Linked DNA regions of Arabidopsis thaliana. The protein of the gene in region 1 purifies or fractionates together with the protein of each later gene. This does not show direct contact. Each region holds a gene or a part of one and is shown on either strand. Other genes may lie near its edges.

Region 1 (8,564 bases):
ACCACCATTAGCCCCGGCACCTGACATCAATTGAAAATACATTCACATGTTACAAGTGAAAATACAGTTTACATAAGATAGATTTCCCTCTACTTTTTTCATGTGTACTTTGCTTAGGCAGATTGAGAGGAGCAAACAATTTAGAGGTTCTTTGATAAGAAACAAACCAGCAACAGTTGAACTGTGTTTGCAGAGAAGCTCGGCAGCATAATTTATCAAAGCGGCAGGATGGTTATGGTCTTTCAGTACCAAATCTTGAAAACATTTTGCTGAAAGCTCCATATCGCCACTGGAAGACTTGTTCATTAGAGTGAAGTATCACGATAATAGTTAGAAATAGAGGGGAAGAAAACTCCTCACCTTTGAAGATAAGCAACTCCAAGGTTTGCAAGGCAATCATAATTGTCAGGAACAAGAGCCAACAAGGATGACAAAACTGATATGGCACTCTACAAATTAACAAAGCAAAACTATATAACAAAAGGAATGACATTGATAATCAACCAACATGGTGAGGAAATTTACCATCAAACAACCAGCTTTGAGAAGCATTAAACCAAGGGTATTCCACACGGCTGCCTGTCTAACATCTAACTTTATAGAATCCTTTAATTTTGAAAGAATTTCTTCAAGCTCTTCTCCCTCAAGCTCTTTAACAGAGTCAGTATCCCCAAAACCATCCAAAAGAAGACACTAAAATGTTTTCAAGTGTACAATGTTAAAACCTTCGAGTGAATTGTCAATAAACTAAGGAGCTCTCGAATACAAGAACTTCAAATATGAAATTTGGTTCAGACACAAAGATCATCACCTGTCCATGGTGAATTTGAACTAATAAGAGAAGTTCTGGCCGAGCAATTTCTGGCTCACAACCCAGTAAGATCTCTTCAGCTTTCTCATATTCTGGTATCGCCTAAAACCTCCTAGCAGTTAAAATCACTAAGATGATAATTATTCTAAGATACATCAGAGTACCCTCAGCTCAAGCGTACCTTTTGAGATTGGCCCAATCGTTGAAACATAAGACCAAGTATAAAATGGGCATGAGCATTTTTGGGCATCTTCCTTGCAACATGAATCAAACCCTATAAGCAGAGAAGGAAAATCAGAATTTATATAGAGCATCATCATCATGAAAATTAGACCAATAATCAACTGCGAAGAGCATTATGAATATAAGAGGACCATCATCATTCTTTCTCCAAATGTTTAACGATGAATGCATTCTTGGCAACTTTATGAAATCCTAGCCCCAATATGACCAAGCACACTTTCTACGATACTATGAGTCAATAAACTCACCATTTTGAGGTTACTGATTTTTTCTTCCCGGGATGCAGGGACCCCTTGATTAGCCAGATCACCATCTGCATCAACTCCACAATCAGAGGAAGACTCAATCTTACTTCTGGAGCGGCATTTTCCCACCTTGCTGATCTTTTTGGCTTCTACTTCTCCTGGTTCCACCTCCTTGCATGTTAATATACCTCCCTCTTGATGACTTTCCTCGTTACTCAACCTAAAACACACAAAAATGTATTTAAGTTAAGAATCATGAAGCTTCTCCTATCCCCCAAAGCAGTAAGAATCAAACTCTACTTATCAAAAAAAAAATTCCCCATTTTTAGACTCTTGCTGAAAGATATCCAAAGTCTCGATTTTTAGATTTTGCGGCATAAGAAGACATCAATATATTCAACCCCGTAACAAAAATGTCACTTCAAACATATGTTTCTTCCGAACAGAGGAAAAAAAAATCTCAGCAAAAGAAAGTTAGTCGAAAGCAACAGAAAGAAATAGGTTAATTAGCTGAAACACACACAACTACGTATGTAGAAGTACCTAGTGATGGGAGGAGGAGTAGGGATTGGAATGGATGAGTCAAGATCATCAGTCTCAGGAGGATTGAAATTAAGGTCAGCTAAAACTACAAGCTTTAGAGGTCGAGAAGGAGAGTCAACGGTCATGGGTTCGCATTTGACGGCGATCGTCTCCGGGCGGTCCATTGATGGTGCTGAGTACGCCGGACAGTAAAGTTGAGCAGAAGAAGAAAGAATCAAAACAAATATAAAAACGAGGATAAAGCTGTTTGGCAACGAGTATTGGTCTATCCTTTTGTTTGCTCTATCCCGGAACCGGAGTCATAATTATCTCACCGACCGAACAAATATATTTTTATTTATCTTTTTATAATTTAATTACCATATTTTCTATATTTATAAATAATTTTCATAAAATATCACAAGAGTAATAAGTTAACACAAATTAACCATGCTAATAACTTATTTTCAATGTAACAAAAATCCATCAGAAATTAGAACACACTAAAAGATATCAGTACAAAGACAAAACACAACAACCAGACAGAAACACATGAACATATAAACATCTCATGTTTATCTACTAACTGAATCCATACATATATGTAGATAGTGAGGAAAGTATCGTAAGCACAAACACAAGAAACTGATAAGAGAACCACTAATCACTGAGTTGCAGAAATCCCAAACTCGGGAAGGATCCAACCATTGTCCATGGCATGACTAGCATACAGCTCAAACTTCTCTTTCGCGTTCGGTATATCAAGCGACAAGTCATCGAGGCTGTCGTTAACACGACCAAACCCTTTCGTCATTTGGTTAGTTGTAATCAATCCTTCACCAAAACACTCCTCAAGCAGATTCAGTAACCGATCATTCTGCTTCTCCATTGCCATCACCAAAGCTTTCTTCACTACTTCGTGGTTGAAAAAAGGCATCCCTAGATCGCGGATACATTGACAAGCTTCTGATGTTACTCCTCCTGTTTCGTATTCTTCTAGGAGTTTCGAGATTTTGTCCTTTGCATCTTCCACTATCCAGCCGGTTCCACCTCCCCAGCTTCTTAGGAGTCTCTCTCCTGCGTGTCTGGCGGAGATAAGAGACCTGGCTGAGCGGACTGTTTCGGTTCCGGTTGATTTTGGAGGCAGCTTGGTTGAGATATCTTCAAGGTTAAGTGGAGCTAAGACGTCGTCAATCACAGCTCTAGCTAAAAACAGAGCAAGTTCGTTTGATGCGTCCATGATATCTAAAGCTGTGTCTTCTGCCGATTCCAGGAGCATAATGAAACCGTTTATGAAATCTTCAGTTGAGAATAGCTCCATGTGAAGAGCAGAAAGAAGAACCGAAGCCATTTCCTTTTCTCTGTTTTTCCTGTCTAGAGCAAGAGTTATGAGCCTCTTCAGAAACACCGGGTTATATTCAGGTGCCCCTAAATCTTGAAGACTGCGGATTAGCTCAGGAATGTCATCTGATAAGAAATATTCCTGAATTATGTTCACTGTATCCTTCTTGTACTGTCTTAGCTTTCCGTCTTGACTCGATTTTTCTCCATCTTGATCAGAGGTTATCTTAAATGAATCATCGAGCCAGCCTCCAGAAATAGCCTTTGGAACTATCGAATCAAACAGCTTTTTGGCAGATGGGATATCTAGAGCAAGGTCATCGAGACTCTCTGCTACTCGGAAGAATCCCTTCACCATTTGACTCGAACTGATCAGTCCTTCTTCAGCAGTTTCCTTCAACAGCTTTAGTACAAGTGACTCAGCGGTTGGAGAATCCATCGCCAGAACCAAAGCCCTCTTCACAACCTCATGATGGAAAAACGAGACACCTAATTCCCTGATGCATCTACAAGCTTCGTAAGTGTCTCCGTTTTCCACGTATTCCTTCAAGATTTCAGATATCTTTTTCTTCGTTTCTTCTACTGTAGTGTGAGTACTACCTCCCCATTTCTTCTCCACTAGTTCTGCATGGTGAGGAGCTGAGAGATAGCTCTTTTCTGCAGTTACAATAACCTGAAACCCTTTGCAAGATTCTGGAAGAATCTTCTTAGATCTAACCAGAAAAACCGGAGGGAGAATTTCGTCAACGATGGCCCGTGCAATAAACAATGCAAGGACATTAACAGCATCAAGGATGTCCACCGCAAGGTCATCAACAGATCTGAGAAGTCTTATAAATCCATCCCTAATTTGATCAGGTAAAATAACATCAGCATACAATGCAGAGAGTAGCACTGAAGCCATTTCCTTCTCCTTATCGTGTCTGTCCATGGCCATAGAAACAAGTCGCTTGGTGAAGTAAGGATGATATTCGCTTGAACCAAGTTCCCTGAGGTCAGATGCCGCCACTTTCACATCCCCGGTGCTAAAGTATTCGTCAATGATGGAAACTACTGACTTTTTGTAATCATTCAACGGGTCTGATACCGGTGAATCAACAAGTCCATCATATGCGTCCTGTTAAATTGAGTATATGAATGAAAAAAGCAAACTACTAATAAAAGATAAAATCAAGGGATGTTAGATACACTAAAGAAACAAGGAAAAGTATCCAACACAAAACAAAAGGCGCAAATATGAAAGTACCTCTCCACTATCGTAATTGGGATCATTCTTATCAATACAGGAGTCACCATCATCAGTGTCAAGAAGCTTTCCCCAAGTTCCTTTGCCACCAGCACCCTCTGCAGATATCATTGCCACATAAGTAAACCATATATCACCTACACACTTGAACTCTTCTACTGAAAACTTAAGTCTTTTCACTAAAGCAAATTTGAAAGGAACTAATAAAGAGTCATATCACTCCCTAAAAGGATCTATTAGCCAAATAACAAGCACAAAAGGTTGAAGAAAGTTTAATACCCTTCTTAACACGAATATGCTTCCCTGAGTGAGTACGTCGCACATGCCTATTAGGAATCCCAGCAACTGGTCCTTTGCCACCAGTGGGAGACTTAATGTTCAGATCAGCAAAGAGAGTATGAGATTTAGGCGATGATGACAAACTTCCAGAATTATGAGTTGCTATTTCAAGCTTTTTCCACTGTCCATCCGTCAAAATTCCCTCACCCGATGCCATCTACAACATTAAAACGACCATTAACTCATAAATCAAATACAGAAATAACCTCATAATCACTCGAACCAACCAAAAAAACTCTTCCTTTTTCCCCAAACTCCTAATAACGATCAGTAAGAACATGAGAAATTTGTATCCCAACGAAATTTCTTCCCATTCAATGATAAAACAAAGAACATGAAACCCATAAACACTGTGAATCATAAGAACACACACACAGTGATATTTTCCACGATTTCTAAACGAGAGACCTTAAAACACTCCAAAAATTCGATTAAGTAAACAAAACATCACAAAGAAGTATGTATACAACTATACAAAACAAAATCTAACCTGTCATACCTGTGATCGCAGGAATCAAATTCCAAATCGTGAAACAAAGTCGTCTTCTTTACTGCTTGGCTCGGATCTCGAGCCAAGACAGAAAAGATAAGGAATCGGATCTCCAGCACCGGAGAAAAACGACCGGAGAGTATCAAAGTAGATAACGATCAATTTATCACTACAAGAGAGTCGCAAAGATTCAAAAGTCACCGATTCCCAGACAACGACGAGAGAGGAAATGGATGAGGATCGCCAATAAAAGTACTACTTTACAACAATATAATAAAGTTTTGTGCATTTGTTTATATACGATGGTACACGTCATCAACGTAATACGTGGAGGGCTTAGAATATTTCCTTCTTTTTTTAATTTAGCCTCCAATTTTTTTAAAGATTTTAATCCAAAACAATGGGCTGTATTGGGTAGGTTCGGCCCATTGAATTAGATATTTTGGGCTGGACAATATCCAATGGTTGACTACGTTAATAAAAGTTTTATGCTTCATGGAATCATATTATTAGATCATGGCCATCATGTTTATAGTTTTAAAACAGATATGGATATTGTATTTTATATTTTTCAAATTATTATGACTAAATTATATCAATATTCATTTTAAATTGTTATTTTAGTGAACGTACTATGTGTATAAAAAAAACAAAAAAATTATAACACTGATAAATGAGTAGAGAAGAAGTTAGCAAGTAGTTTTCAAGCAAAAACCGGTCACATGCCCTTTTGTCTCTATTTTCTGATCCGACGGTTTTCTTTATATCTACCACCTTAAATCCAATCTAACGACTCTATTTCTTTATAGAAAGGTCAATTCTCTACATTTTTTCTTGTTTTTTTTTCACAAGACAATGTCATGAAACTTGAATTGATTTCGTATAGAAGACAAAAAAAACTTGTAAAGTTGAGCATTTGTTCAAAACATTAATTTGTTAAGTTTGCTTATCCAAATGATCAAGTTTCAGTTTGATAAGCCAATGTAGTCAATAATTAAAATGGTTGAATTAGATATTATCATACTCTATATTTAGTTACTTATTCAAATGCGTTCAATTATTTTTGTATTCTATGAATCATGTAAAAAGTAGTGAAAAATGTATATAGATTAGCTTTTGAGCGTTGAGAATATTCTGAAAAAGGAACATTAATGTCGATCGGTTCTCGTGTTTCATCACGTACGAGAACGAAATCATTTACTAATCGAATGAATGTCCAAAACTGTCTAAAATGTAGTGAGAAATGTCATTTAATTGTTTTCTGCAGTTTATGTACCAGAATACACAATTTGCTTAATGTATAAAATAATTTGCTACTAACAGTAATTTAAAAAAAAAAAACTAGACTTAAACTCATGATCCATATTTTTGCCCGAAGTGAAAATTCATCAACATGAATGGCTCTAGCAAAAAGAAAAATGTCGGCGAGACTTGTAATCGAATAGTTGATTAAGTTTTTAAAGACATTGTTCTTTTTAAAGTGTGGAGGAGGAGGAGGATATAGAGTGATGATGCAAATACTTCCCATGTGCATTGATTGTCAACACATTTTGTACCAGCCAAAATTTCAACATAGGGTCTGATTGTTAGATATGAATGAATACACTACTATTCTAAAAACGTTATATGAATTTAAGAAAATTATATGTGTAGAATTTATTGAAAGATTGGACTCGAGCACATGGTTCGGTGGTCCCAAAATCAAACCTCTATGGGCCAGTGTCGGCTCAGTTCTCCTATTCTATTGCTTTTGGTGGGTCTATTCTTTTCTCTTTTCCTGCAAGCAATATCTCTTTGAGACACCAAAAGAAATTCATTTTGTATAAAGATAATAATAATAACAAACACTCTAAAACCAACTTATCAAACAATTCAAAGTGTATCAAATATCGTATTCTTACAATTACAATCCATATACGTTTAGTTATCAAAATATGGTTTAGTAGATAGCAGAAACACTAAAGTATCTCGAAATGTAATACTTTACTATATGAGCTTTAACAAAAAAAAAAAAAAAGGAAAAAAAAAAAATCAGTTAAATTGAGCTAACTGCTATGCTATTGATAATATTCAACCGTTAAAACGTAAAAGTAATGATAAAGGTACAAAAATTAAACCGTAATATTAAATATTAGTACTAAAGTACATTACTAACACAGTGTTGACTTTTGGTGCACCGTACTTAGTGTTTCACCAACATTCAGCTTTAAGTTCGTTGAGATTTTAATTACGAGTTCTGTGTTTTTTTTCTTTAAGCCACGTGACTCATTCCTAGCGTTACCTGAATGTTGAATACAGTATTAAGTGCTATCGGTTTGATAATCTTAATTATTAGAACTGTTGAGCCAATTATATTTGTAATGATGGCTGATATTACTCCTTCCGTTTTTAAATCATAACCAGCTCCGTTTAGCTTGATCAGAATTACATTTCTGAACAACACTTTTTAGTTCAGCCAAACACTTTTTATCAGGTATCATGAAATTTGAATCTTAGGAAACATTTTGCATTATTTCTTCTTCTCTAAAATGACTTGGGTTGATTCCATTCTCACACACCAAAATAATTTCACAAGAAGAGGAAAAAGGTTAAGCAAGGTGGGTCCAATTAACGTCAAGTTGCATGCGCAATAAATCACCCGAAGTGTTCATATGCTATATAGTCTATCGCTTTGCTTTGTCTTTCTCTCTTCACTCATATGTTTCGTCCCAATTCTCTTTTAATACCTTCAAATTTATCAACAACAAAAAGCCAAAGAAACACAATGCTAAATTCTTCATATCTATCCTTCGCACTTATCTTTTTCTGCTGCATTTTGTTCTCCGCTCTCGCTTCGTCTTTGCCCGTTTCCGACCCTGAGCTTGTTGTCGAGGAAGTACACAGGTATATGTTCTAACAAAAATGTAAAAGCATTTTACATACACTCAAATAGTCAAATGTTTGGTATTAGATATTGCTTCCAAGTTCTTTCTATCCAAGGCTAATTTTGATCTTGATCACAAACTCACTTGTTACTATTGCTGCATTAATAGCTATGACTTATGAGTACGCCTAATTACGTACGTCAAGATTAATTAATGCTAATATATTGTCTGTTGGTTAATGCATTAGAAAAATAAACGAGTCCATATCAAGAAGGAAGCTAGGGTTCTTCTCGTGCGGGAGTGGTAATCCAATCGATGATTGTTGGCGATGCGACAAGGATTGGGAGAAAAACCGAAAACGGTTAGCAGACTGTGGTATCGGTTTTGGCAAGAACGCTATTGGCGGTCGTGATGGTGAAATCTATGTGGTCACGGATCCAGGAAACGATGATCCAGTAAACCC
Region 2 (7,406 bases), 4.2 Mb from region 1:
GAAGCGATGTTGAATATGCCGACTTTGTTGACGGAGATGGCTGAAGGGATGTTGATGAGTCCACCGAGAATGATGATACATCCGACGATGGAAGATGATTCGCCGGAGAATCATGAAGGAGATAATCTTTGGAGTTATAAATGAATCCATTGAAGCTGCTCTCTTTTTTATTGTTTTCCGGTCGAATGAGATTTTCCCCCTTTTTTTTTTTCTTTTTGGGTCGCTGTTATGGAAAGTCAAATAGGTTATTAATATGATATATTAATATTTTTGAAACATAATGAGTTTGAATTTGAATTTTTCCATTTTTATATAAATATGGTTTATATGAGGGAAAAATAGATACATATCGAAGATATAAGAATTGTTTTTCTGCTTTATTTTTGGTCAACTGATTATGGTGCTTCTAGAAAAAGAACAATCTTTTTAAGAACAAATATAAGAAGTATCTAGAAGCAAAATAATTTGTTTGTGGAAAGGCCTCCAATTTTATATAACTTAAAATCTGAAGATACAACACAGTCTAATGGTTTGTGTTTTCTGACCCCAAAAAAAACAACAGCTTCTCATGGGAAAAAATGGTAGGAAACTTTTTTTTTTTGTCAACGGCAAACTTAAATTTTAGAAAGATAAACTACGATATAATAACTTCCAAGAGAAGATTTTTTGGAACTTAACCATCAGACCACACACACACATCTTTATCATCCTATGAATATCCAACGAATACTACTACATAGAGAAGAATGAACATGTTACATTTATATCATGTTTGACTAGAAACAAAACAACATAGATCATTTTTCTTGTTAACCTTTGTATAGGTTTTCAATGGCTTCCGCTTCTCTCTGATTCTTTTTTACCATATATACTACTAGATCTACTGTCTTAGGATTCTCTAACCTTTAGGAGTTCAAAATTTATCTCATGAGCTTGAAAGATGTCAATTACTTCTCCAAACTCGACGTTATATGTGTCAAGTACTACATTCATGTCATGACAACCTTTTGTGCATAAAGATACCTCAAAAGCTTTTTTACCAGTTTCGTGTCCTTATATTTTTTTTTGCATACCTCACATTTTATATGGTTTTAATCACTCATCTTTTTATATATTCTCACCCATCCTTATAATTTCAAATTGAAATACCATCATGTCCAATATATTCTCACCCATCCTTATGCATTGTGTCTCATGTGTCTTTAGCATATTTCATATCCCTGGATCAACTTGAGTTAGTGAAACAGTTAGAAAGTAAAAAACAAAGGTAAAGTCTCTCTCGTCAAGACCCTCCGAGTGTACAAGAGGCTCTCAAACAACAAAAGCAAAAGGATAAACTTTTGTTAGCTCAGACTATCCACATAGCCGTCGTCTTCCTCGCCGGACATGCTAGAAGATAACAATCCACACCCAAACTTACCCAGAGAGACAATCTCTGATTCACGTCCACTACAATTACCGAATCTCTCCGAAGCCACCGATCACCTACGCTAGTTTCAGTGGCAATTCGAAGCTTCCAATGAGTTTGTTCTGTAATTCAATCGAAACCCTTTATCCAAAACCATTCCTTTCACACAAATCTCACTTCTTTACCTTCTCCAATTCCAAATTCCAAAACCCTAAATTCACAAGCTTCCCACTTCGTCACCAATGGCGGATCGAATCATGTCTGAAATCAGCATCTTCATCAGAAATCGATATGGTAAGAAACAAAGAAGGTATCTTTGCACCAAAGGAGAAGAAAGTTGTAGTCTTATGGGACTTAGACAACAAACCACCACGAGGTCCACCATACGAAGCCGCAACAGCTCTCCGTAAAGTCGCTGAGAAACTCGGCCGAGTCGTCGAAATCTCCGCTTACGCAAATCGTCATGCTTTTATCCATTTACCTCATTGGGTCGTCGAAGAGAGACGAGAAAGGAGGAACCTTGATTTCATGGAGAGGAAAGGAGAAGTGACTCCAATTGATCCGTACATTTGTGGTGTTTGTGGTCGCAAGTGTAAAACCAATCTTGATTTGAAGAAACATTTCAAGCAGCTTCATGAGAGGGAGAGACAGAAGAAAGTTAATAGGATGAGATCTTTGAAAGGTAAGAAACGTCAGAAGTTTAAGGAGCGTTATGTTTCAGGGAATGAGAAGTATAATGAGGCTGCGAGGAGTTTGTTGACTCCTAAAGTTGGATATGGTTTAGAGGCTGAGCTACGTCGAGCAGGGGTTTATGTTAAGACGGTTGAGGATAAGCCTCAGGCTGCGGATTGGGCGGTTAAGAGACAGATACAACATTCAATGACTAGAGGGATTGATTGGTTGGTTTTGGTGTCGGATGATAAGGATTTTTCTGATATGTTGAGGAAAGCTAGAGAGGCTGATCTTGGGACTTTGGTTGTTAGTGATATGGATAGAGCATTGGGAAGGCATGCTGATTTGTGGGTGCCTTGGAGTGGTGTTGAGAAGGGAGAGATTGGTGAGAAGGATTTGATTCCGGGGAAGAGACCAAGGTTTGAGGAGGATGAGGTGGGATTTGGTGGTAATGATGAGTTGTTTTCGTTGTCGTATGATGAGGATGAGAAGGCGGAGATGACGGTGGAGAGTGATGGGTTTGGGAGGTTTAATGTATCGGCGTTTTCGGAAGATGAATGGGTGGAGGATGAAGGAGACTTTGTGTTGAGTGATAGTAGTGATGATGATAGTGATGATGAGCTTTTCTGATTCATGGTGAATTGAGTTGCATTTCTAAGTGTTGTTAATTGGTTTACGAATAGAGTTCATAGGAGCTTTGGTCGATGTAATTGAAATCAAATGTAAAACCATTCTTACATAAGCCAAGATTTTGTGCATTCATGTGGTCAAAGGCTTTGAGAATTCAAGTTCTTACATAAACCAAGATTTTGTGGTATTGTGGTTTGTCGAATTGAAATTTTGGGTTGGAGTAAACCGGATTCAAATCAAATTTTTATTTTGATCGGTTTAGAGTAGACGGTTAAGTAGCGACTGGATTTTTTGATCAGACGGTTAAAATAAAATCAAGAAAGAAACGATAACTGAAAAACCCGTTTTTTTACGCTTCGTTAAAATTCTGCTTCACCATTTTTGTTTGCATTCTTGCTTGATTGCAAAATCTTTGCCTCTCTCACATTTCAAGTTGAGATTTCTAGGGTTTAGTCTTTAAGTTTTCTAAATTGCTTTGGAGAGGTCGAAAAGAAGAGAGAAAAGCCATGGCTTGGAAAACAGAGGTCCGTTTAAAACTATCTCACAAGTAATCACTCTCTGGTTGATTTTGTGTTGGACTAGTGAGGTTTTTAGGGTTTGGATTGTAGGTGAACGAAGTTTCAGATGATATAATCGATGGTCTTTGGTCAGATGATCCTCCATTACAACTTGAATCCGTTACCAAGATCAGACGTATTACATCACAGAGTAAAAACTTCCTCTGTTTTTTACTTTCTTTACTTTTTCTTGATCTCGGTTTGAAAGATTCGTCTTTTATCATTTACTCTAATATCTTTCCAGGAGATATATCTTGTGTGATACGATCTGGAGTTGTACCGCGTCTCGTTCAGTTGCTTAAAAATCAAGTTTTCCCCAAGCTTCAAGTTAGTTGATATTTTATGATGATGATCAGTGTAACCTTTGATTACGATATATTCAGTGATCTTTGTTTTTATAGTATGAGGTAGCTTGGGCTCTAACAAACATTGCTGTTGACAATCCGGGCGTGGTAGTTAATAACAACGCTGTTCCAGTATTAATTCAGCTTATTGCTTCTCCTAAAGATTATGTTCGTGAGCAGGTAAGTATTTTACTACGTGTAGATATGAGAATACTTGTCACAGACTCACAGATATGAGTTTTGACATTATTCTTGCAGGCTATATGGACACTGAGTAATGTTGCTGGTCATTCGATACATTACCGTGACTTTGTTCTTAACTCTGGGGTATTGATGCCACTGTTGCGTCTTCTGTATAAGGATACTACACTCAGAATTGCTACTTGGGCTTTGCGTAACTTGTGTCGTGGCAAGCCTCACCCGGCTTTCGATCAGGTCTTCTTACTTCTCTCTCTGTCTCTGTTTCCTCTGTTTTGTATACTTTTTAACATATGAAGCATGATTCAACAGGTGAAACCTGCTCTTCCTGCGCTTGAAATACTTCTTCATTCACATGATGAAGATGTCTTGAAAAATGCTTGCATGGCACTATGTCATCTGTCTGAGGGTTCAGAAGATGGAATCCAAAGTGTGATTGAGGCTGGTTTTGTCCCAAAACTAGTTCAAATTCTCCAGTTAGTACTTCTCAGAATATGTATTTAACCCTTTTGTGACATGTTTGGATAAGGAAAGGCTGACAGTTTTTTTTCTTTTGCAGACTCCCTTCTCCAGTGGTGCTTGTTCCTGCACTTCTTACCATTGGGGCTATGACTGCTGGAAATCATCAGCAGACACAGGTATGTATTTCATATTCAACTTACGTTGTCCACCTTTTGGATTTTGTAACCAAACAACAAAATGCTTTGTTATACACCTCTTTGAACTTATTCTTCAGTGTGTGATCAATAGTGGTGCTTTACCCATTATTTCCAACATGCTTACTCGAAACCACGAGAACAAAATAAAGAAGTGTGCTTGCTGGGTGATTTCAAACATCACTGCAGGGACTAAAGAACAAATTCAGGTGAGAAACTTTTGTTGCTATTATCCCCAATGAAAATTTACCATTTTTGTCTTTTGCTATCACTAATTTGTTTTTCTTTTTCCCCTGGTGATTACAGTCAGTTATTGATGCAAATTTGATTCCAATCTTGGTCAATCTTGCTCAAGATACTGACTTCTACATGAAGAAAGAAGCTGTATGGGCAATTTCAAATATGGCCTTAAATGGTTCTCATGATCAAATCAAGTAACGTCCCTGTCTTGTTTCTTTTTTCAACTTTAATGTACTTATTATAGATCATCAAGTCTCACAATTCTCCATTGGTGTGATTCAGATACATGGCGGAGCAGAGTTGCATAAAACAATTATGTGATATCCTAGTATATTCAGATGAAAGAACCACCATCTTAAAGTGTCTGGATGGATTGGAAAACATGTTGAAGGCCGGAGAGGCTGAAAAGAACAGTGAAGACGTGAACCCTTATTGTCTACTGATTGAAGATGCGGAAGGGCTAGAAAAGATTTCGAAGCTGCAAATGAACAAAAACGATGATATCTACGAGAAGGCTTATAAGATTCTGGTGACGAATTGGTTTGAAGAGGATGATGAGAACAACAACAACAACGTCCGATGTGATGATGTGGACTTTCAGGTGTGAGAGAACCAAAGTTCCAGTTCCTTATATGGAAGATCCCAACACAATTATTTGTTATAGTGAAAAAAAAACATCTTACATGGGACCAAAGGCTTTGCACCTTTGTTGTCTCAGGGCTTTACTTGGTCTTTAATTGAATGTACAAAGTTGATGTAAAAGCTTTGGCTCCATCGTTCATGGAGTCTAGTACATTGTTTTGGGTTTTAAAAGTTTTCTGTGTTAAAGCTCGTCGTCTAATTGATGTTGTGTTTGGTTTTAGTTGAAAGGTTTAGACGTTTAGTAAAAAAGTTACTCAAATTCTTGAAATCTCCTTGGCCTTGCTGATTATAAAATCAAATATTCATTTATAAAATTATGCGAAAGGGTCTAATTATTTTTGAAACCGAATCGAATGAAGACAACTCCATTTTGATTGATTTTTTTTTTGTTGTATTAAAGAATAAAAAACTCGACTGGTTCAACAAGACTGGATTGTCTTTAAACTACTGGTTCAATGTATTTTGGGTACATAATGAAAAAAATACACAATCCGCCTTGGCCACGTATCCATCTTTGGCTTAGTTGATGATGATAATACTTTTGTTTTTTGGTAAGGCTGATGATGATAATAGTTAGAAGAAGTTCATAGAATAATCCAATGGATTTCCAATAATAAAACACAGAAATAAATATAATCCAAACAATTGCCAAAAATAATGAATAAGAAAAGGGACCCACACCAAAAGCTAAAAGCGCGTGGGTCAGATTACAAAAAGCGAAACCCCAAACCGTGGCTAGACAGCGGACGAACCCGTCCCTTCAAACGTGGCTCACCTTTCGAACCACAGAGAGCAGTTTACACTCCAACTGTCAAAAACGTGTTCCCATGACGTCATCCTCAACGTATCTTTATCACTTTTTAAAACTAAAGACTGTTTTGTCTTTTTCTAAATCGTCCCCTTTCTCCGAACACCATACTTAAATTCAATAAAATAATAAATATCAAAACTGAACCATCGAATCGGAACCAGCCACAGTACACAATACACTTAGACGAAGTAAAGTGATTCAGAAGGACACGTGTAAGTCACATACCGTGGGACACTTGTCGTTACCAGATCCTCCGTGTTTCTCACTTTTCTTATAAAATAAAAACACAACACTTCTTCACTTTCTGTAATAAAAATATCTCCAAAAGTTCCAACACCTGAAAACATAAAAAGATAGAAAGAGAAATAAAACATCTTATCCAAAGAAAAAATGAATCCATTTTACTCTACATTCCCAGACTCGTTTCTCTCAATCTCCGATCATAGATCTCCGGTTTCAGACAGTAGTGAGTGTTCACCAAAGTTAGCTTCAAGTTGTCCAAAGAAACGAGCTGGGAGGAAGAAGTTTCGTGAGACACGTCATCCGATTTACAGAGGAGTTCGTCAGAGGAATTCTGGTAAATGGGTTTGTGAAGTTAGAGAGCCTAATAAGAAATCTAGGATTTGGTTAGGTACTTTTCCGACGGTTGAAATGGCTGCTCGTGCTCATGATGTTGCTGCTTTAGCTCTTCGTGGTCGCTCTGCTTGTCTCAATTTCGCTGATTCTGCTTGGCGGCTTCGTATTCCTGAGACTACTTGTCCTAAGGAGATTCAGAAAGCTGCGTCTGAAGCTGCAATGGCGTTTCAGAATGAGACTACGACGGAGGGATCTAAAACTGCGGCGGAGGCAGAGGAGGCGGCAGGGGAGGGGGTGAGGGAGGGGGAGAGGAGGGCGGAGGAGCAGAATGGTGGTGTGTTTTATATGGATGATGAGGCGCTTTTGGGGATGCCCAACTTTTTTGAGAATATGGCGGAGGGGATGCTTTTGCCGCCGCCGGAAGTTGGCTGGAATCATAACGACTTTGACGGAGTGGGTGACGTGTCACTCTGGAGTTTTGACGAGTAATTTTTTGGCTCTTTTTCTGGATAATAAGTTAGTTTAGGGATTATTTGGACATCTAGGATTGGTCCGGAGTTCCGTACCTGTATTTTTTGTTTGGTACCAAATCTTTAGTAATAAATCGTCTATCATTTATTCTTGTTAGAATGTTCTTTGTTTGTTTTTGGTAAACAGATTTGATCAAATTAG
Region 3 (9,136 bases), on another chromosome or scaffold:
TTTTAACCTTCGAATGTTGTTTAGTGTTACTAGACTTAGTAGTGTCCTCAGATTTGGTCTTTTTTTTGTGCTACAGAGGTTGCGTGCTGTAATCAATGAGCTCGAGTCTCTGAAACCGGAATTCAACCAGCTAGTGGATAAGCTGAACAGAGTTGAGGATGAATCCCGTCAGGATGGAAGTGATCTCCCGGTCGTATCATATAGTTCAGATGCTGTTGAGTGGCCTCCTGCTCACAAAGCTTCATACTCCAGACCTGATATTAACAAGGTAAGACTTGGAGTTTGCATTGAGTACATAATCTAGGATTTCTATATAATCATTGCATCTTCAAAATCCATGTGATTTCTTACCAGCAATGCCTTTTCCATTTTTTTTGTCTTCTCTGGATGCAGCCCTTACCGACATCTCAACCATCCTGGACGTATAACAATAATCTGACTTCATCATCAAATCGTACACAGATTGATCAGCAGTTCCAGAAGCTGTGAGTATTCTCCCTTAATATAATTGTCGGTAATTCTGCTTAATAGGAATTCAAACACTATAAGCTCTCTGAGCTTTAGGAACCCTGAGAAATAGGGGTATGCCATCCGATATGTGTCACTGGTTTTCTTGCTTTACATCTACCTGTTTCTGTGATCACCATATATATACGATGTTTGGGTCACTTATTAGTTATTACCAGAAAAACTACCATTCTGATGGACTAAACTGCCAATGCTGCTTGGATTTTCTATTTATGGTATCATGTTTATTGGTTGCGTTTTGTGGAATTCTTCTTTGGTTTTGGGATATTGAAACAAGAAATGAGTCTATGAGACTCAAGTGCTACTCCATATTAATCTGGGATGATCATTGAGACTTTAATTGTGCTCCTGAACCTGCAGATCTTTTGATTTCCTGCCTCCAAACCAAGCAACCTTGTCAAGACATTCATTTCTAGGTCCGAATGGTCTTAAAAGGCAAATGGTTGCACCCAAGTCAGAGATAAAGGTATAGTGCTGATCATTGTTACCTTTCTCACATTTTCTCACTCTTTCTTTTACTCTTGGTCCAATTCAATGTTTAATTATCTTAGATCTGAAGGAACTGAGAAAAATCTTTATTTTGTATGGAATGATAGGTTCAATATCCGAGTAATACAGATTGGGGTTCTGCGGACAATTCAGGGTAAGTACTCATCTTCTGTTACCTTCTAAGCTTTTCCTTAAAGAAGTCATGGCTATTTCAAACTGACTCCATGTATTTCTGCAGTTTAATTGAAGCTGGACCTAGCAGTTCCTCAGCATCACTTAATGGTGATTCTCAAGAAGTCTCAACACTGAACTCTGTGCTCTCCTTAGATGATGGTCGATGGCAGCGTCATTCTGAGGCAGTAAATTCCCAGTTTATTAGCGACGCAACTGAAGACCCGTTTCAGTTTGTCGGTATGAAGCAACCTTCCCCTCCTCCCGTGCTTGCTCAAGTGCATCAAGAGTTAGCCCAAATTTGCCCATCTAAAGTAGCTGATCCTAGACCAGGACCTGCAATTCCTTCCCTAGAAGGAAAAGAGGGCAGCAATTCTTATCAGCATTTGCATGTGGTATGTTCCAGCTGTATCTTCTTTCACTTTTGTGCAGTTTCCACCAATTCCATAGTGTTTGTGAGAGTAAAGTGGAAGGGATATGCATATCAAGTAGAAAATTATCCATGATTAGTCTAATTATTTGGTATGTGTTCAAGAATCAACACATTAAATCATCGAAGTATTGGATTCATGACCATTACAGCTTCTTAAAAGCTTGCTAGAATCGGTTCTGGAAATCTTTCTCTTTCACCTCTTCTTAATCTACTACTAATGTTGTCACCCTTTATTTAAATTTGCTGAAGCCTGTGCGCATAATGGATGATTTCCTAAGGCTAGCTCGGTCAAACACAGAACGGAATTTAGAAACTTGTGGAGTACTTGCTGGTTCTCTGGTGAGTAGATGGAACCTTTGCATTTATAATTTTTGATTCCAATATCATGATCAGCTCGCCATTACTTATATTCTGTCTATTTGCCATGTTTACAGAAAAACAGGGTTTTTCATATCACTACTCTCATAATCCCAAAGCAGGAGTCTACCTCAGATTCTGTATGTTCTTCATTTTTCTTAACCATTTACATCAATAACAATCTTTTTAATTCTCGCTGGTATGCTTCTCACACTTAGGTTCATCATCATTTGGGTAATGTACAGTGCCAAACACTAAACGAGAAGAAATATTCGAGTACAGGACAGACTCTCTCTATTTCCCTTGGGTTGGATTCATGTAAGTTCTCTCACCCGAACTAAAAAATCTTCCATTTCCAGATAATGACTTACCAAAACGTTACTCAGAACAATTGTGAATCCATATATCCACTAGTTGATAAGCTTTATCGATTCGTCTTGCTAATTTACATTTTGGTTTCAGACACACCCTACACAAACTTGCTTCATGTCATCAGTTGATCTACACACACACTACTCGTATCAGGTAACAAACTCCCCTTATCAATATCTCTATGTTAATCACTTATGATGCGATTATAGTAAAACCATCATCTATATCTATTGTCCCAGATAATGCTACCGGAGGCGGTGGCAATCGTAATGGCACCAACAGACGAATCAACACCTCATGGAATATTCCATCTCTCTGATCCATCAGGCGTATCTGTGATCCGAAACTGCCAGCAACGAGGCTTCCACCCACACGAAGAATCAGAAGACGGTAACCCAATCTACGAGCATTGCTCACACGTCTTCCTCAATGCCAAACTCAAATATGAAGTCCTCGATCTCCGCTAAAAGCCAACCTCCATCACCATGTTATTATTTTTCCTGGAGTCTTAACTTTAAAGAGACATTAAAAAGACCTCAGAGATCAGATGTCTCAGCCGTACATATATGTGTATACTTCTTAAAAAAACCTTCTCTTTAAAGTTCCAAACTTGGCTGAGCCGTCTTAAGTAATGATGATTGTGTTTATTTATAACGAGTACACTTTTAAATTCGTATGCACCATTTCACAAAGCCAGATGTTTGATTAAAAAAACATAAGTATTTTTTTCTGACGATTTTTTCATTTAAATTAAAATTCATTATAGTCTGTGGGAAAGACCTGATACCATGAAAGTTGAGGTGAAAATCTGTTATTAGCTTTCATCAGATAAGAACGGAGAGAGAATAACAGATTTTCACCTCCTAGATAATGCTACCAGAGGTACTTGCAATCGTTATGGCTCCAACAGACGAATCTACCCCAATATATGAGCATTGCTCATACGTCTTCCTCAACGTCAAACTCAAATGCGAAGTTCTCTACTCTAAACTTTCTTAAACGAATATAATATACTTTTAAAATTACTTTCACAAAACCAAGTTTTGCCAAAAAAAAAACTGTATTTTATTTTAAATTAAATTTAGTCGGTGCGAAAAGACTAATGAATAAACAAGTCAACTTAAGTAAATTAATGGTCTCTGTATCGAATCTTAAAATTTAGATTTACCAAAATGTTTTTGTAAACCAACGAAATTCAATCTTTCTCTCTGTGCCTTTTTTCCTCTTTTCTCGTTCCCCTCTACTTCATTTAGGGTTTATCATCCTCTACCAATCCGCCGATTCTATACATACACTTTTCATATATATACATACATCGTCTCCACTCTCGTTGGCTCATTTTTCATTCACCGCCACGAAGCAAGAGGAGATTCGTATTAGCCACCATGTCTTTGAGACCTAACGCTAAGACTGAGGTTCGCCGGAACCGCTACAAAGTGGCGGTGGATGCTGAGGAAGGAAGACGGAGGAGAGAGGACAACATGGTCGAGATCCGTAAGAGTAAGCGTGAAGAAAGCTTACAGAAGAAGCGTCGTGAAGGCCTTCAAGCTAATCAGCTACCTCAATTCGCTCCTTCTCCTGTTCCTGCTTCATCAACTGTTGAGAAGAAGGTAATATTACTAGCGATCTGGAACCGTTTCCTAGGATTTGATTGGTTTAGATCGATTCGATTTTGATTTTGGTTTTGGTTTTGGCTAGTTGGAGAGTTTGCCTGCTATGGTTGGTGGTGTTTGGTCAGATGATAGAAGTTTACAGCTTGAAGCGACTACTCAGTTCCGGAAATTGCTTTCTATTGAGCGTAGTCCTCCGATTGAAGAAGTGATTGATGCTGGTGTTGTGCCTCGGTTTGTGGAATTTCTCACTAGAGAGGATTATCCACAGCTTCAGGTTTGGTGGATCGTTATGTATCTGTCATATTTTGCTAGAATTGTCTTCTGATACTAATTACTTGTGTGTGTGTGTGTGATTTCAGTTTGAGGCTGCTTGGGCATTGACAAACATTGCTTCTGGGACTTCAGAGAATACAAAGGTGGTCATTGAACATGGTGCTGTTCCGATTTTTGTTCAACTATTGGCTTCTCAGAGTGATGATGTCCGTGAGCAGGTAAGATATGTGTTTATGGTTTTTTCTCATGACTCAATATACTGTCAATTTTGTTTGTTTTCGGGAACAAGCATGTTCTAAAGCTTGTTTGTTTCTTAATCTTTTCATGTGTAAGGCTGTGTGGGCATTAGGGAATGTTGCTGGTGATTCTCCACGGTGCAGAGATCTTGTCCTTGGTCAAGGAGCTTTGATACCATTACTCTCTCAGTTGAATGAGCATGCTAAACTCTCGATGCTGAGAAATGCTACTTGGACCCTCTCTAATTTCTGCAGGGGCAAGCCACAGCCTCCCTTTGACCAGGTTTGTCTCTCATTCCTATCTTAATCTCTGCCCAAAGATGAAGGAGTTTTTCTTTTTAATTCTTGTGATCTCTTAATAACAGGTCCGTCCAGCACTCCCAGCCCTTGAACGCCTGATTCATTCGACTGATGAGGAAGTGTTAACGGATGCATGTTGGGCTCTCTCTTACCTTTCCGATGGCACAAATGACAAAATCCAATCTGTCATTGAGGCAGGTGTTGTTCCTCGACTCGTCGAGCTTCTCCAGTGAGTTTCAAATCCCATGATTTCACCGTGCTTTTGTATAATGAATGTTATGTGTTAATGAATATTATCAATTTTATTTTGCTGTAGGCATCAATCACCATCTGTGCTTATTCCTGCCCTTCGTAGTATTGGTAACATTGTCACTGGAGATGATCTGCAGACACAGGTATGTTTGTTCTTTTATAGTGTCATTCATTCATATTATTCAGGATACATGGTCCAATACTGATGGGAAGAATGAAATACACTGGCTAGAAAGCTGAATCTGAGTTTGTTGATAATGACATTTAGTTGTCAAAAGTTACTTGTCAAATTCTTCCTAGATGAATCTCTAGAATGGGAACTGTCAATTCTTCCCAGATTTTATTTCCCCCCCTGCATGTTTTTTACCCTAGTTATGCAATACCTAACATTCCTTTTGAATAGTTAGACTAATTTAAGGCAGTATGTATAATACTCTTAAGAATCTCACACATGTACCATTCCTCACTTATTTTGCTTTCTTTTTTGGTTGGTTCTACAGTGTGTAATTAGTCATGGTGCACTTCTTAGCCTTTTGAGCCTTCTGACTCACAATCATAAGAAGAGCATCAAAAAGGAAGCTTGCTGGACAATCTCAAATATCACTGCTGGAAACAGGGACCAGATTCAGGTGAACTTTTGCTAAAGATTGTTGTTTCTGCTCAGCTTATCAGTTTCTCATAAACTAATCACTAATGTTGGAAGACATGTTTCAGAAGCCTTTTTGTTGTTTGAAGAAAGATGTTCTGTGTGTTTATGTTCTCTAATATTGTTGTGGTATTGCAGGCTGTGTGTGAAGCTGGTTTGATTTGCCCTCTTGTCAATCTGCTTCAAAATGCGGAGTTTGATATAAAGAAAGAAGCTGCGTGGGCAATATCAAATGCCACTTCAGGTGGTTCTCCTGACCAAATCAAGTAAGATTATCCGATATAAACTCCATGTTCTGTTGATCTCAACTCCTTTAGAATCTTTGTTGGTTATTTTTCAAACAGTCAATTAAGTTATTCCGTTGTGTGTTTTAGGTACATGGTGGAACAGGGAGTCGTGAAACCACTGTGTGATCTTTTGGTGTGCCCTGATCCAAGGATTATCACTGTGTGTCTGGAAGGATTGGAGAACATTTTGAAAGTTGGGGAAGCTGAAAAGGTCACAGGAAATACCGGGGATGTAAACTTTTATGCACAGCTGATCGATGATGCTGAGGGATTAGAAAAGATTGAGAATCTGCAGAGTCATGACAACAGCGAAATCTATGAGAAGGCAGTGAAGATTCTTGAAACGTACTGGTTGGAAGAGGAAGATGAAACTTTACCACCTGGTGATCCCTCTGCACAAGGCTTCCAGTTTGGAGGAGGTAATGATGCAGCCGTACCACCAGGTGGATTCAACTTCCAGTGAAGGTAAAAAAACCTCACTACTTGGGACTAATTTATCTAAGCATCTAAGGCTAGACTAGCAAACAGAGTAAATCTGCCTGTGTGTCTACCTTGTGTGAATCTGTGAGTCTGGTTTTGCTTCCACAGGAGCTGAACATGACGATTTGAAGAGTCGAAGGAGCTTAAAGAGTTTGGGGGCACTGGTTAAAAAGGGTATGATTAGAGAGTCTGGTCTTCTGTGTAAAAGTCAGATGGGGTGCCTTACTTAGTCTGGCCTGGTCCGGTCAGATCCAGTGGTTGGTGGGTTTGAGTCATGGAATAAGCTTGTTGGGGGGGAGTTGGGTAGGAGTCATCAAGGGATATTTATTTTTGGGAAAGGGTTTATAAGTTTTTAAAGTGTGATCTGATGAGAATGTGTCTCTCTGGGTTTTTGTTACATTTGTACTACACAACACTGCAAAGTCAAACATAAAAAAGTTGGTCAAACTTTATTTGGTCTTATTGGTGACATAAAAGCCCAATTGGTTCGTCTCTTTATTGTTTATAGTAAATGTTTTTTTTTATAATCTATTTTAGTGCGGTCCAAGTCATTTTGGGCTATTGTCTACATATGCACGCGTATCTAGTTTCAACATATTTCCATTAATCGATGTTATTAATGGTTATCGTCAACTTCAAGTAGGGAGGGTTTCAATAATAAAAAAATCCTATGTTTTGTTCAATCCCTGTCGTTTATAAGCGTAGGTATGCCTTGGACCCAAAAGAACTCAAATATTCATAAGTCGATTACACAAATTTAAATAAGATGAAATTGACCAAAAAGAGAGATGTTTTGTAATTTTCATACAAAAAAAGTTGCACTACACGAGCATGTCTTCGATATACCTAATATTATTACATAAATTTTTCGTATTTCATTGTGAAGAATTACACAAAATATCTAAAAGACTGGTAAAAAATGCATGCATATCTCTAAGCCCAATTAGGGAAATCTAACGTGGCAAACAACCACAACGAGTAAATCCAATGTATTTCGTGCGCCAGGTTTTGAATTAAAATTTCAAATTTGGTACCAAAGCAAGCAAGATACCAAAAAACCCCCTTCCACAAGATCTTTGTTACAAGTTGTTGTTGTAAAATGATTTTCCCTCTTCTTTTTTCAGTTTGTGGTTGTTTTATTTTTTGGCGGGTGGTTCTATAGTAATAAAACACCGCGCTCGAGGGTAAAAAAGTAATTAAGAAAGAGAAATCTAGGGTTTATTAGTCCCCGCCTCCTCCTTTATTATAAAAACCCTCTCCGTTTGTTTTATCCGTTATTCTTCTGCGGCGTCTCTCTCTCTTCCTTATCATCATCATCTTCACTCTAAACTTCACAGAGAGCCATTCAAGCAGAAGAAGAGCTCTTTGATCCTTCTCTGCCATTTCCGTTACTCTCCTTTCTTCTGTTTCAGAGTTTTCTATTCTTCTCAATCCTATCTCGCTTCGAAGTGGATCAATGTGAGTTTCCATGATCGTTTTTGATCCTTCTCTTACTTGTAGTTGATGATCACGTTTAATAATTGTCTTTTTCTTTTGTAGATGTCAATGACGGAAGAAACCAAGACGACGAAGCTCGAATCGGCGGGAGATTCGTCCGATGTAGACAACGGGAACTGTAGTAGCAGTGGAAGTGGAGGTGATACGAAGAAGACATGCGTTGATTGCGGAACAAGCAGGACTCCTCTTTGGCGTGGTGGACCTGCTGGCCCTAAAGTAAGGATCATGATCTCTCTCTACCATTTTCTTTTAAACCCTTAAAAATCCAAGCTTTAAGGTCTCATGTGTTAGATCTAGTCAAATAGGTACTTGAATCCACTTAAAATGTAGGTTGATCTTGTGTGCTTAGCTCTGTTGCTAGTGGGTTTTGTCTCATTGATGTGATCATGTGTATACATAGTCTAGGTATGCGAGGTTTGTGTCAATCTGTGGTTGATATTTAAATTTGTTATGTGATCTCTATGTTTTGTTTTGATTCTGTGTTTGAAGCCTTATTACTAATTGATCAGGTTAAGATTATTGTTACACTGTTTTTATGATGCCTTTTTTACTAAGAGATGGTTATGTCTCTTTAATTTTAGATCTGTTTGATGATTGTTCACTATTTGTTCTCTGGTCTGATCATGGATTGACTTTGTTTGCAGTCATTGTGCAATGCGTGTGGTATCAAGAGCAGAAAGAAGAGACAAGCAGCTCTTGGAATTAGACAAGATGATATTAAAATCAAGAGCAAAAGTAATAACAATCTTGGTCTTGAGAGCCGAAATGTCAAGACCGGAAAAGGCGAACCAGTTAATGTTAAGATTGCCAAATGTGAACCGGGAATTGTCAAGATTGCCAAAGGTGAACCAGGAAATGTCAAGAACAAAATCAAGAGAGATCCTGAGAATTCCAGTAGCAGCAATAATAACAAGAAGAACGTGAAAAGGGTTGGTAGATTTTTGGATTTTGGGTTTAAGGTACCGGCGATGAAGAGATCGGCTGTGGAGAAGAAGAGGCTATGGAGGAAACTTGGGGAAGAGGAACGAGCCGCAGTACTTCTCATGGCTCTTTCTTGTGGTTGAGATTTTGTCTCTTAACCCTTTTTTTTTGATGTGTCGTAATGGTTGAGTGAAAGAGATTAGGGAAAATAAGTTAGTGAGGAAATGATGAAGAGAGGATTATTAATCCTACTTATCATATATATTAGTTAATGTAATTTT

What was found.
Region 2: the proteins of AT5G63190 (region 1) and IMPA-8 fractionate together in Arabidopsis thaliana (co-fractionation; one large-scale study listed by BioGRID). This does not show direct contact.
Region 3: the proteins of AT5G63190 (region 1) and IMPA-2 fractionate together in Arabidopsis thaliana (co-fractionation; one large-scale study listed by BioGRID). This does not show direct contact.

The regions. Positions count from the first base shown.
Region 1 is NC_003076.8:25,342,485-25,351,048, reverse strand, and holds AT5G63190 (MA3 domain-containing protein), read right to left. Parts: upstream 5,508-8,564; 5' UTR 5,247-5,507; exon of another isoform or gene 5,238-5,246; intron 4,905-5,237; coding exon 4,688-4,904; intron 4,507-4,687; coding exon 4,409-4,506; intron 4,321-4,408; exon of another isoform or gene 4,280-4,320; coding exon 2,486-4,279; 3' UTR 2,249-2,485; downstream 1-2,248. Other genes in the region: AT5G63200 (tetratricopeptide repeat (TPR)-containing protein), read right to left, coding at 1-20, 168-289, 361-449, 526-693, 812-913, 993-1,085, 1,303-1,519, 1,843-2,006; AT5G63180 (Pectin lyase-like superfamily protein), read left to right, coding at 7,936-8,120, 8,349-8,564. UniProt on the Arabidopsis thaliana protein: Involved in target of rapamycin (TOR)-regulated translation control, especially under energy-deficient conditions.
Region 2 is NC_003076.8:21,116,930-21,124,335, reverse strand, and holds IMPA-8 (importin alpha), read left to right. Parts: upstream 1-3,216; coding exon 3,217-3,234; intron 3,235-3,318; coding exon 3,319-3,418; intron 3,419-3,511; coding exon 3,512-3,594; intron 3,595-3,668; coding exon 3,669-3,791; intron 3,792-3,869; coding exon 3,870-4,046; intron 4,047-4,121; coding exon 4,122-4,285; intron 4,286-4,368; coding exon 4,369-4,447; intron 4,448-4,545; coding exon 4,546-4,674; intron 4,675-4,771; coding exon 4,772-4,899; intron 4,900-4,987; coding exon 4,988-5,312; 3' UTR 5,313-5,390; downstream 5,391-7,406. Other genes in the region: AT5G52020 (Integrase-type DNA-binding superfamily protein), read left to right, coding at 1-144; AT5G52010 (C2H2-like zinc finger protein), read left to right, coding at 1,520-2,710; CBF4 (C-repeat-binding factor 4), read left to right, coding at 6,549-7,223.
Region 3 is NC_003075.7:9,131,734-9,140,869, reverse strand, and holds IMPA-2 (importin alpha), read left to right. Parts: upstream 1-3,454; 5' UTR 3,455-3,735; coding exon 3,736-3,960; intron 3,961-4,048; coding exon 4,049-4,237; intron 4,238-4,322; coding exon 4,323-4,454; intron 4,455-4,569; coding exon 4,570-4,755; intron 4,756-4,837; coding exon 4,838-5,001; intron 5,002-5,088; coding exon 5,089-5,167; intron 5,168-5,524; coding exon 5,525-5,653; intron 5,654-5,808; coding exon 5,809-5,936; intron 5,937-6,044; coding exon 6,045-6,420; 3' UTR 6,421-6,422; exon of another isoform or gene 6,423-6,545; 3' UTR 6,546-7,120; downstream 7,121-9,136. Other genes in the region: AT4G16141 (GATA type zinc finger transcription factor family protein), read left to right, coding at 7,977-8,150, 8,579-8,998.